Linked DNA regions of Caenorhabditis elegans. The protein of the gene in region 1 purifies or fractionates together with the protein of each later gene. This does not show direct contact. Each region holds a gene or a part of one and is shown on either strand. Other genes may lie near its edges.

Evidence for each region. Proteins that work in one complex are often made in the same cells at the same time.
Region 2: the proteins of clh-3 (region 1) and gck-3 purify together in Caenorhabditis elegans (affinity purification with western blotting, with the first as the bait; one study listed by BioGRID). This does not show direct contact.

The regions. Positions count from the first base shown.
Region 1 is NC_003280.10:7,219,632-7,227,567, reverse strand, and holds the start of clh-3 (Chloride channel protein), read left to right. Parts: upstream 1-1,919; coding exon 1,920-1,980; intron 1,981-2,227; coding exon of another isoform or gene 2,228-2,261; intron 2,262-2,319; coding exon 2,320-2,414; intron 2,415-4,513; coding exon 4,514-4,609; intron 4,610-4,931; coding exon 4,932-5,007; intron 5,008-5,061; coding exon 5,062-5,181; intron 5,182-5,371; coding exon 5,372-5,637; intron 5,638-5,691; coding exon 5,692-6,065; intron 6,066-6,110; coding exon 6,111-6,297; intron 6,298-6,335; coding exon 6,336-6,536; intron 6,537-6,589; coding exon 6,590-6,868; intron 6,869-6,916; coding exon 6,917-7,169; intron 7,170-7,218; coding exon 7,219-7,435; exon of another isoform or gene 7,436-7,442; intron 7,443-7,481; coding exon 7,482-7,690; intron 7,691-7,744; coding exon 7,745-7,836; intron 7,837-7,914; coding exon 7,915-7,936.
Region 2 is NC_003283.11:17,963,735-17,968,497, reverse strand, and holds the start of gck-3 (Germinal center kinase 3), read left to right. Parts: upstream 1-1,734; coding exon 1,735-1,921; intron 1,922-3,179; coding exon 3,180-3,364; intron 3,365-4,760; coding exon 4,761-4,763. UniProt on the Caenorhabditis elegans protein: Plays a role in osmotic stress responses by regulating ion homeostasis and by controlling cell volume via the phosphorylation-mediated inhibition of the chloride channel clh-3.

The sequences.
Region 1 (7,936 bases):
CCCTTTTATTCGGAAACTCTTAAGCTGTGCTATATTTGAACAGCATTATTTTGAGTAAAATCCATCACAGATGTTCAAATATTTTTTCGTCAATCGTTTTGATGTCAACTTTATGTTCCTGTCACGAACCGTCTCTATTTCTCTATCTTGCAATCCGCCCGAAGAAAACATGATCCGAAATGAAGGCTTGTTGATAATGTTGTGACATGGAACACGATTATCTCAAATCTATGGGAAAATGTGATACTTTCGAAGGAAAAAGAACAGTTTCAATTTGAAAGAACGGGGGAGCATTGGAACAAAGTAAAAAGCAAACATTGTTGGATGACATTAGAAGAAAAAGAAGAACCTATTTCAGTTACAAATAGTAGTCTGTGTGTCCGGTGTGTGCTGCTGGATAAACAAAAAAGTCACAAAACTGTGCAAAAAGTATGAATCATCCATAACTTGGAGCCAACCAAAAAACTTCTAAATGAAAAAAGTACAGATAAAGAGGACGAGCAGTATCTTGTGATTTTTGTCTGTTCTGTTTGAAGGTTTCGTTTGTGTCGCTGAGTAGTTTACAGGGAACAAGAAACTAAAAAATTATTTCGAATCGGGAATTATAAAACGATGAAAATTGTTCCAAAACTTTTAAAAGACGAGATAGTTATTCAGATAAAGGCCTGAAAAGATAAAAACTAAAACAAAAAAGTCAAGAAGGGAATGTTCTGAAACTCTGTCACAAGAGAATTAGTCATAGCTCATGGTGGGTTTTGATGAGCTGGTTTTCATAATTTTCGTACCATACTTCTCCGTTTGAATAATTAATTTGTTTGTGTTTTTTCGAAAATGCAATTGACCTCTCTGTTCTTGATATGAACTTCAATTCCCATTATTTTTCAGTAAATTTTCTTCAAAGAAATTGGATATCAGGATGAACATTCTAATAATGAGCACGAAAAACTGCTTTGTTTCAATGAATGGGACATTCTCATGTATTCAAATAGAATATGAGCTGAAGTTTGGAAATATTTGAGTTCAATGTTAATTGTAACTGGTTTTGTCCAATTTCTATTTTACTGATGAAACCCCAATAGCAAGAAGTACAATTGTTTAAACCTGGAAAAAGGGCCCTCGGGGTATTCCTAGATGTTACTATGGAACCAAAAAATTAGGTCTCACTTTACAGTTTAGCACATTTTTGGGAGATCAAATCAAGTGACGCAATCTGACTCGCATATTTATTGATCTATGCCCCGGGGGTTTTCCTAACCGTTTTTTAACGGAACCTTCCTCTTGGGAAGTGACCGAGTGTCCTATTCCATGCGTTCAAACAGTTGTCATGTAAACAAATCACATCATCTTTTTGGCGGCGGTTTATAAAAACGGTTTGCATGAGGCTCTCATTCATTTTGTTTTTATTTTTCAATTTATCTTCTGGTCAGCAAAATTCAAATCTGTGAGCTAAGTTCTTCTCTGATTAGTCACTGTGAATTGCATTTGAAAAACAGTTTTTATGCTTATGTTTTGTATTCTCGAAATAAACAAATAATTTCGAAACTTTAGTGTTAACATTGTTATCCGTAAATCATGCCGTGTAAAATTCCACGTTGCAAAATGTTTCCACATTTTACTTACTAACTCTGAAATTATACAAATATTTCTCATGCTTTTTTTTTATTAGTTTAAAAAATCTTTGAAGTGTTCGTTTGCGTGTTTCTCAAAAAAACTTTCATTTGATCTCTGTTTAAGTGGGATAAAATACCGATGGTAGGTACTTGTAACAAGCACAAGCCGGCCGACACTTGACAGTTTGTTGGCAGTTTCTCAGCTCGCCTACACAAATCGTTTGCTCGTTTTAACGTGTTCTTTTTTATCCATAAACTCGATCGTTTTCGCAGATTTTATAACTATGTTATTTCAGCAATACTGTGCTTATGCCCTCTCGGACGCCTCTTTCCAAGATTGAATGGCAAAGCCTGTTGCCTCTTCCACCAGGTTAGTATATTTTGTGAATCTGACGAAATCCGTAGGTATGTTTATAACAACCATCTATTCAAATGAATAGTAATTTAAATTAAATTATGATACGCGTGAAAAAACAATGTGAAATAGCGAATAGTTCCCGTGAATGTCTTATCAAAGTTTATTTTGAACTTGATTTCGTTAATCGTCATATTTCGACACAGACACAGTCTCACCCCCCCCCCCCCCCCCCACATTTTAACCATCATCTATCTCGTCGATGCGATACAAATTGAAATTTTCAATTTATGTCGGTTAGTAAAAAACTTGTTCAAATCACTCTCACTCAACGAATATACAGTATAATTTCAGAAAAATCCGAGAAGGACGCGACTATAGAGAACAATGAAGAACTGGAAAAGATTCGGATGCCTGCGGGCAAAGAATACGATCTACAGCCGGGTTCGGTGAGTGTACACATAGATTGATCAAACTATCAATGATTTTCAAAAAAAAAAGAAGAACATTTTTTTATTCGATGAGTAGGTCATTCTGAACAAAGAAGTAAACTTTCGTAATCATTTTTTTCGAACTATTTTCTCATTTACTTTGAAAATTTTTGTCATTAAGTTTCTCATCGTATAGTCTCCTTCAATGCTATAGGAACCCTTTGATTTTCATGATATTCAAATCCTGACAAACTTTTTAAAGAAAAAGTTATATTTCAAGTACAATTTGTTTCGTTTTATAATAATTTCAAACAATTAACGTGTTGATTTTCACAAATTTTCACAAAAAATTATTTTCTAGCATTTGTTGATCGGTTTTCAGTGTATTCAAATTGTGAGCTTGTATCTGAGCTCTTGATTTTTCTCAGCCTCAAAAAAAATCAGAGGATGAAGCTGACATTTTATGTACTATGAGTAACACAAACGGTTTGTTCAACAAACAATTTTATTCGAACTACATCACATTTTGGCGTTTTTTTGCACCTAACAACGTTGCAACGAGTAAACGTTCGTCGTTTGCAAACAGTTGTTTTCCCGAAAAACAACGTTTGTGATTGTATCAGTGCACACTACTTATCTATGAGCTAACCGTGGAGCTTCAGCGTCCAAAAATGTGCAAAATTATTTTTTCGTCTATACTTCAATTGTTTAAAATATCACAAAACGGAACGGAAAATAATTTGAATACCCGAAAAAAACTTATCTGATGTTGACTTTTTTAATAGGACTCAAAAAATGTTTGACATGAATGCAAGAATACATTTATTTTTTAATAAAGCTTCACAGGTTTTAGAAATAGTTGAAATTGAGGGGGATCCTATAGTAGTGACGTGTAGTATTCTTTGAAGCAGACAATTCATACCCACTTCTTCCCTAGTAGTATTAGTCATCCTGTTCAGTTTTTAAAAATCAGAAAATTTTCGTTTTTTTTGTCTAGTTTTCTCGTCACATCTGTGTTTCTTTTCGCCCTTTTCGCACTGACCGTTCATTTTCATAATCCTCTACGCCGGTTTCAGAATTACCGGTAAAGAGCAAAAATGACGTTGTTCGTGCCATTCTTTCTCTATCCAAACTGGTTTTTGGAGAGAGGCAGATTCAGAAATAAGCATGTCCTATGCCGTCTGTTTTTTGGTAAAATCAAGAGCAAATAATTTGAATAATTCACCAAATGTTCCACTGGAAAGCTTTCCATTCGTTTTTCAGTCGAAGCGTCCCTGAAAAGCACCGATGACCCCGTCGAACCTATTCAATGTTTGCTTTTCAAAATTCTAAAAGTGATAATAAATTCTTGTCACTTGTCATGAAACGAAAGCATGTGTTGCGAACTGGTCTTTTCACACTTTACATTTTTGAACCTTTTACCGTTTTTGATGGTCTCCAAATATTTGTTCGTTTCCAGCCGACCTTATCAATCATAGATGTAACCCCAAACCTTTTTCTTCGGAATAGATGTTTCCACGTTTTCTTCTACAAACGAACTATTATTAGATGTCTTAAATCAATTTTAGTTGTATTTATTCTATTTTATTACTTTAAGCACCCTCATTACATATTGCAAAAAACCCTCCTCTCTCTCTTGAAGTTTATCGGTTTTGTTGTTGTTTTTAAACGAGGCGGAATCATTTTTCAATCGGATCAACTAGAGAACGAACGGTTCATGTGACGTAACAATATGTGTGCTCCCGAAAAGAATTCAGATTTAAAGAAATTCGAACTTGTAGAACGATTCATTTTTCTGTGTGTAGACAAGAGCAAACCTCAATCGGACTCCTCCCACTATTCTTTAAGCGCCTTCCTAACACCCTTAAATTTAGCGATTAAAATGAAAAGTCTGCTAAATGTCTAAACGTCATCAAGTGCTACAGTAATTGTTTCTCATTTTTTGAATCATCTGACTTGCTTCTTCAATCACAAAAAAACGGTATTCAATCAATCATTGTGATCATCAAATCGTTCGTTCGAATCACTTTCGACTTTTAAAATTTATTTGATTATCCATGTCTATTGTAGACATTTTCTTATAAACATACAATTTCAAGTCAAATTCTCATTTTCAGCATCTCGGTGTCTACAAAACAGTTCGTGGTCTACCAATTGACGAGGATTCCAAAAGTATGGGTATTGGTACAAAAATATTATCAAAAATTGAAAAGGTGAGTACGTAGCAAATTTTGATGTTATTTTTTGAATAGCAACACCAGTTAATGGGAGGAGAGGTAATGAAAAAATAAAAGACAAACATAAACCCCCGGAGTGGGAACTGTTATCAGATGATGGAGAAGGTGGGCTTATAGCATCTGATTATTGATTTCTACTGCTAATCCACTATGTTTCGATTCAATATTTTAGATGAAAATGGGGTATGTTTAACCATTTTTTGAAATCAAATTACCAAAAAAGAACGAATTAGTCAACGTCATATGTCAAATGTTATGTATCTTCAAAGTACGTTCATAATTTCCTTTCTTTTTTCAGAACAAAACATCTGATGGCCTTACGATACCGCTCACCCCGACTACACAAAAACAATCATCAAGTTGGTGTTCTTTTGGTAAGACAATGATCTTGAATTCTTGTATTTTTATAATTGAACTCTGCATTTCAGAAAGTATCAAAACATTTTTTCGGACGGTGATCCGTGATTGGATCTTTCTGGCACTACTTGGATTCATCATGGCATCTCTATCATTTGGAATGGATTATGCTATTCTGAACTTACAGAATGGTTCGTTTAATTTTTTGAATTTTGGACAGCTAGACTGGAAATGTTATCTCAGTTTTTCAAACGTCATTTCTTGATAAGAAAACTAATCATCGGTCAAGAAACGGAAAACCACTCAGAACTAGGAACATTGGACCTGATATATTGCTCTTGACAGAAATTGGCAGAAAATAGAAAAACGTTTTTTTTTCAGGTCAGATGCGGTTATTCGATTTGGTCAAGGAGTATCACTTCACTTTGGCATATCTCGTTTGGGTTGGATATGTCGTTGGACTCATTCTCCTCTCTGCAGTATGTGCACATTATATTGCTCCACAGGCGATTGGATCAGGAATTCCAGAAATGAAAACTATTTTACGAGGAGTTATTCTCAAAGAATATCTTTCAGTACGAACACTTCTTTCCAAAATGATTGGACTTACATTATCACTTGGAAGTGGATTACCAATGGGAAAAGAAGTTTGTTTTTAAAATATTAAACTATTACTTTTATACACACTTCCAATCTTGCAGGGACCGTTCGTTCATGTTGCATCCGTAGTAGCTTCTCAACTAACTCGTTTGGTTCACGGATCATCTGGTGGAATATTTGAAAATGAGTCTAGAAGTGGTGAAATGCTTGCAGCTGGATGTGCTGTTGGAGTTGCTTGTACATTTTCTGCTCCGATAGGAGGCGTGTTGTTCTCAATTGAAGTCACATCTGTCTACTTTGCTGTCCGAAACTACTGGCGTGGTTTCTTTGCTGCCACGTGTTCGGCTACTCTTTTCCGAATTCTAAGAATGTTCTCTGTATCTGCAGCAGTTACCGTCGAGGCCCATTATCAAACAAACTTTCCGCCACAAAATGTGTTTCTCCCACAAGAGCTTCCTATTTTTGCACTTATCGGGTGAGTAAGTATGTTCTTTTTGTTTTCAAAATTTACATATTACAGATTGGTTTGTGGTCTTGCTGGTTCAATATTTGTATATCTTCATCGACGGACTGTTCTTTTTTTGAGAAGAAATTGGCTTGCCAAAATGATATTTCAGAAATACTGGCTCATCTATCCCATCTTCATCGCCACTTTCATATCTTCTTTGTCGTTTCCATTGGGACTCGGGAAATTTATGGGTGGAGAGGTAACAAACTTATTCATCTAGATAGTTATTTGGCAAAGATATTTCAGGAAAGATTCAGTCACACAATGAAGGAATTTTTCGTAGATTGTGCATGGACTGCTCCACCAAATGATTCATATGCTTGTCCAATGCCTACATCAAATGCAACAAGTTCGGATAGTTTTGACATTCGTCACTGGAAAGGAGATAACTATGATTATTCTCCATTTGTCACTTTATCTTCATTTCAAGTAGTATACGTATGTTTTCTGAGGACCTAATTTTGAATTGAAATAATTGTTTTTATTTTCAGTTTTTCCTCGCAATTCTGGCTTCTACTCTGCCTGTTCCGTCCGGTATTTTCATGCCAGTTTTTGTTCTTGGTGCTGCTTTTGGAAGGCTTGTTGGTGAAGGTGTATTCTCATTAGATCCATATGGTCATATCAGTGGAGATATACAATTCTTCGTTCGTCCAGGTGTTTATGCAGTTGTCGGTGCTGCAGCATTTTGTGGAGCTGTCACACATACAGTATCTGTTGCTGTTATTGTTTTTGAGCTTACTGGACAGCTATGTCATCTTCTACCCGTGATGGTGAGTTCTCCCAATTTTTACTTTAATCATTTTATTATTTTATTTCAGATCGCTGTTCTTATTGCCAATGCTGTGGCTTCGTACCTTCAACCATCAATCTACGACAGCATAATTCGTATCAAAAATCTACCGTATCTCCCTGATATTCCCCATACAACGTCCCTTTATCATCAAATGCTCATTGAGCAGTTTATGATTTCTCCTCTTGTCTATATTGCAAAAGATTCAACAGTTGGTGACATCAAAAGAGCACTGGAAACAAAAACCCGGATCAGAGCTTTTCCTTTGGTTGAAAATATGGGTTAGTCACTTAGAATGTTTATATCCCATTATCATCAATACATCTTCAGAATCACTAGCTCTTGTCGGTTCGGTCAGTAGAAGTCAGCTGCAACGATACGTCGATTCTCAAATTGGAACAAAAGCCCGATTTGCAGAAGCAACTCGTAGAATCAAACAACGTTTGGAAGATGAAGAAAGCGAACGAAAAAGAAGAGAAGAAAGTAAATCAGATGATACAGAAGATAGTTTGGAAACGACAGGTGCTGGAGAGAGAAGAGCTAGTCGGTATGAAAACTTCTAAGTTTCAGTTAAAATCATGATTATTTTTCAGATTTTTGATTGTCCCTGTTGCTAAAAACGGACCTCAAGTAGCGAAAAATGAAACGCTGACTGGATTGAGCGAGGAAAATGCGCGGAAGATTCTAACTGTTGAGGAGAAGCAAGCGCTATTTGATGCTGCATCATTGGCAACTCCGAAACGAGAAATGAGTGGAAAAACAATCAATCCTGTGCATATTGAATCTCATCATACAATTGGAGGTTAGATTTCTTTTTTTACATTGTGTTAAAAATAACTTTTATTGTACTTTTCAGACATTTTCCGATCAATTACACATCTTAGTTTTGGGCGACAAAACTTTCCGAAGAAGAACAATCATAACGAGTTTGATTTATTTGGAGAAGAGGTTTTCATTTATAAAGTTTATCTTGAGTTTTATTCAAAATATCAAAATAATTCACCTGTGATGATTTAAACATTGCAGAATCAAAAAAGCATTAACGATG
Region 2 (4,763 bases), on another chromosome or scaffold:
CGGTTTCCAATGTGTACCGGCTGAAAATATCTTTGATTTTTTTATGATTTTTTTCCTGCTCCTGAAAATTTGAAATTTGGAGCTTTTTTCCATGTAAAATTTCGCTGGAAATTACTGGTAGAAATTCCCCCTAAAAATGAAGAAAATCGATCGAAAGTCTTCAAAATGAAGTATTTTTACAAAAAAAAAAAACAGCGAAAAGCTGGATTTTTTTTGGTAAATAAACTATTTAGAAAATCCAGTTTTCGGACTAAAAAGACTCTTGTAAAAATACGATTTTCCCCAATTTGAAGGTTTTTTTGAAATGAAATTCTAGAGAGAAATTGGCTGAAAATGAACTTTTAGCGCGCAAAAATTTCAATTGAAACTTAAGATATCCGTAATTTTTACTATTTGGAGCAAAAATCCAGAAAAACACCGTCGTGTAATTATTAAAATCTCAAAAATAATTTTTAAGCTATAAAATCTCAATTTCCCGAGCTAAAAGCAACACGTTTTTTAGCTCAAAAATTGGATGATTTCAAGCCTGAAAAATCTTTAAATATTGTTCGGCCTTAAACCAAAATGTTCAACGGAGCTGAAAATTTTGTTTAGCGAAAAAAACATTTACGTATATATAACTTGGAAATTTCTTTGGAAATTGAATTTTTAAGCTCAAAAATCCAGATTTTTGAGTCATATTTGAGTGAAAACTTCCTTTTTTTTTCCTCTTCAACTGACACTGCAACTTTTTCCTCACGAGGGACGAGGAAAAGTGGTTTCTAGGCCATGGCCGAGGGGCCGACAAGTTTCAGCGGCCATTTATCTTGCTTTGTTTTCCGCCTGTTTTCTTTCGTTTTTCATCGATTTTTTCGTTTTTTCTTAATAAAACTGATAAATAAATATTTTTGCAGATGCTAAAACAATTTCCAAGTAAAAAAATTATGTATTCAGTGGGCAAGCAGCGGTGAAAGTGGTCAATGTAAAATGATGGATTACGGGAATACAAAACCTAAACTTTTTCTGAAACATGATACATATGCTGCTTAAATGCTGAGACTACCTGATTTTCATAACGAGTCTGCTGAAAAAGTTTTGAGGTTTCCAAAATTCAACTTTTTTGGTGAAAAAGTCGAGATTTTCGCACAAAAAGTTGAATTTTGAAAACCTCAAAACTTTTTCAGCGGTCTCGTTATGAAAATCAGGTAATTTCAGCATCTAAGCATCATATGTATCATGTTTCAGAAAAAGTTTAGGTTTTGTATTCCCGTAATCCATCATATTACATTGCCCTCTTTCACCGCTGCTTGCCCACTGAATACATAATTTTTTCACTTGGAAATTGTTTTAGCATCTGCAAAAATATTTATTTATCAGTTTTATTAAGAAAAAACGAAAAAAATCGATGAAAAACGAAAGAAAACAGGCGGAAAACAAAGCAAGATAAATGGCCGACTTGTCGGCCCCTCGGCCATGGCCTAGAAACCACTTTTCCTCGTCCCTCGTGAGGAAAAAGTTGCAGTGAACTATCGGACCCAAAATTAGACTGTGATTACAAAAAGTTAGTTTCCAGCCGTTTTTTTTTTTTTTTTTCAAATCTACTATATCCTTAATGATATTACTGATTAATGATATCAATTAATTTATTAATATTGTATTAAAAAATTTCAGAGTCTCATACGTGTGTTGTCCTGTGTACATCATCATCATCATCAACAATATAAATTAATATATAATAAATCAAAAATATAAAAAATGAGCTCTTCGAATCTGGCAGGAAACACGAATACTACAACTACATCATCAGCAGCTTCTGCAGCAGCTGCTCATTCAGCTGCAAATGCTTCAACAATAACATCAGAATACTCGACAACACAGACAACAACTGGAACATTTAACACTGATACATTATCGAGCATCGGATCAACGTCGACACTTCATGGTGCTTTTTTGGATTTTTTTTGCGGTCGAAAAATGTGAAAAATGGCAATTTCTAGCTTGAAATCTAATAATTTTTCCGAAGAAAAAGTAGAAATTTCAATAAAAATTGGGGTTTCCCGATTATTTTTGCAGGTCCAGTAAAATTTAATTTTTATTTAAATTTAAAAAATCGAAAATAATTTTTTTAAGTTAAAAATGAATTTTTAAAGTAAAAATTACATCTTTCTCCTTCTAAAGTTGGTATTTTGTGAGGAAAATAATTAATTTTTACAATAAAATTGAAATTTTCCGGTACAAAATGTATTTTTTGCTTTGAAAAATTGGTTTTTTGGGTATAAATAAATTTTTTTTGTAGGAAATTGAATTTTTCAACGGAATTGAAGTTTTGTAGTGAAAAATCAATTTTTCTCCTTAAAAAATTACATTTTTGAGAAAAAAAAACGAATTTTTACGATCAAATTTAATTTTTCTAATAAAAAATTCGATTTTTTTTTGCTCTAAAATGTACAATTTCTTCATGGAAATATAATTTTTTGGCGGAAAAATTCGATTTTCACTCTAAAAATTTAATTTAGCTGAAAAATTTGATTTTTCACATAAAAAAAACCAATTTTCACTTGGAAAACCCTAATATTTTCAATTAAAATCAATTAAATTTATAAAATCTACATTTCCGATTTTTGTGAAAAAAAAACAAATTTTTTTAATCGGAAAAATTGATTTTTCAAGAAGAAAAAAAGAGTTTTTCCTGTGAAAAGTCGAATTTTTCAACGAAATCTGTTTAAAAATGTCATTTTTGAGTACAAAATTCAATTTTTACTCTAAAATTTTCAATTTTTGTCGAGGAAATATGATTTTTTAGGCAGATAAACTCTATTTCTTCATTTGAAATTTATTTTTACTCCAAAAATGTTTTAATTTAGTTTAAAAATTCGATTTTTATACATTTTTTTTTGTTTAAAAAAAAAACGTTTTTCCCGGTAAAAATTACCTTTTTAAATGTGTAAAAAGTCGAATTTTTCAACGAAATTTAATTTTTGAGCTGAAAAAAAATCGAATTTTCTGCTTAAAAATTACATTTTTAAGTACATACAACATTGAATGTTCCATGTAAAAATTTTCAATTTTTACCTTAAAAACCAAAATGGTTTTTTGAAAAAACCAAAAAAAAAATTACAAAAAAGGTGAGAAAATTCAAAAATCGCGCAATTTTTAGGCCCAAAAAATGAATTTCACCCCTAATTTTTTTGTTGTTGCAGGATCACAACCATCCCAACCACCACCACCACCACCACCTCAAGTATCATCACCGATTGCGGCAGCTGCAGCAGCATCAGCTGCACTTGTTGCACAGCTTAATCCGGCCGATCGATGGCCAACAGAACCGTCGGCTTATAAGTTGGATGAGTCGATTGGAGTTGGAGCAACTGCTACCGTTTTTACTGTATGCTGCTTCTTTTTTGACTGAAAATTACAATTTCTATGTCAAAAAAAGCCGAATTTTTAGACAAAAATTCGGGTAAAAAAACGCAAAAAAAAATCCACTTTTTGTACTGAAAATCTCCGGAAAAGTGGCGAAATGGCGAAAATTACAATTTCTAACCGTCAAAAAAAATTTTTTTTTCTAAAAAAATTAAAATTTCCCGCCAAAAAATTTGAATTTCCCGCCGAAAAATTTTTTTTTCTCAGAAAATTTGAATCTCCCGCCGAAAATTTTTTTTTTCTCAGAAAATTTAAATTTCTCGCCAAAAATTTTTTTTTCTCAGAAAATTTAAATTTCCCGCCAAAAAAATTTTTTTTTCTCAGAAAATTTAAATTTCCCGTCAAAAAATTTTTTTTTCTCTCAAAAAATTTGAATTTCCCGCCAAAAAATTGTTTTTTCTCAGAAAATTTAAATTTCCCCCGAAAAAAAATTTTCGACGGGTCTCACCACGAAGTGAGCCGTGATTTTCCTCTCAAAAATGAGCAAAATAACGAAAAATCCATCAAAAATTGAATTTTTGCGTAAAAATTCCACATTTTTCAACTGGACACCTTCAGAAAAACGAATTTGAATCTGAAAAATTCAATTTTTCAGCCAAAATTTTAATTTGTCTTTGGAAAAACCCGGAAAAATCGCTAGAAAACCCCAAATTTCGGCGGGAAATTTAAATTTTTCCGAAAAATCTCGTTTTTTTCAAGAGAAAAGTGGTGAAAATGTTGATTTTCACCTAATTTTACTTTAAGGTGGTGAGTATCGAGACTTTTGTTTTATTAATGTTTTATTAAAATTGGTCCAAAACTACCGAATTTTGTAATGAGACGTTCTGAAAATTTCTCAAAAAAAAAGTTATGGCGGTTCGGCCGAATAAAGCTCATTTTTAGCTAAAATCAAAATTTTTTCCAACTTCTCAGTGCCACAATACCTGGAACCTAATTTTTATTTATTCATCACTTTTTAATAAATATTGTGGTTTTTGAGTGGGCGTTTATTCGTTGATTTAAGTACATATGTCAGTGGGGCACAAATAAAAGTTAAATTTTGTACCCCAAAGACCATAAATGTACCTAAATCAACGAATAAACGCCCACTCAAAAACCACAATATTTATTAAAAAGTGATAATTAAATAAGAATTAGGTTCCAGGCATTGTGACACTGAGAAGTTGGAAAAAATATTGATTTTAGCTGAATATGGGCTTTATTTTGCCAAACTTTGAACCGCCATAACTTTTTTTTGAGAAATTTTCAGAATGTCTCATTACAAAATTCGGAGATCTGGACCAAATTTGGGTCTAAAAAAGCAAAAGTCTCAAATTTCGGTCGGCTCTACCTTTAAAATTCCCACAATTTTTTTGCAGGCC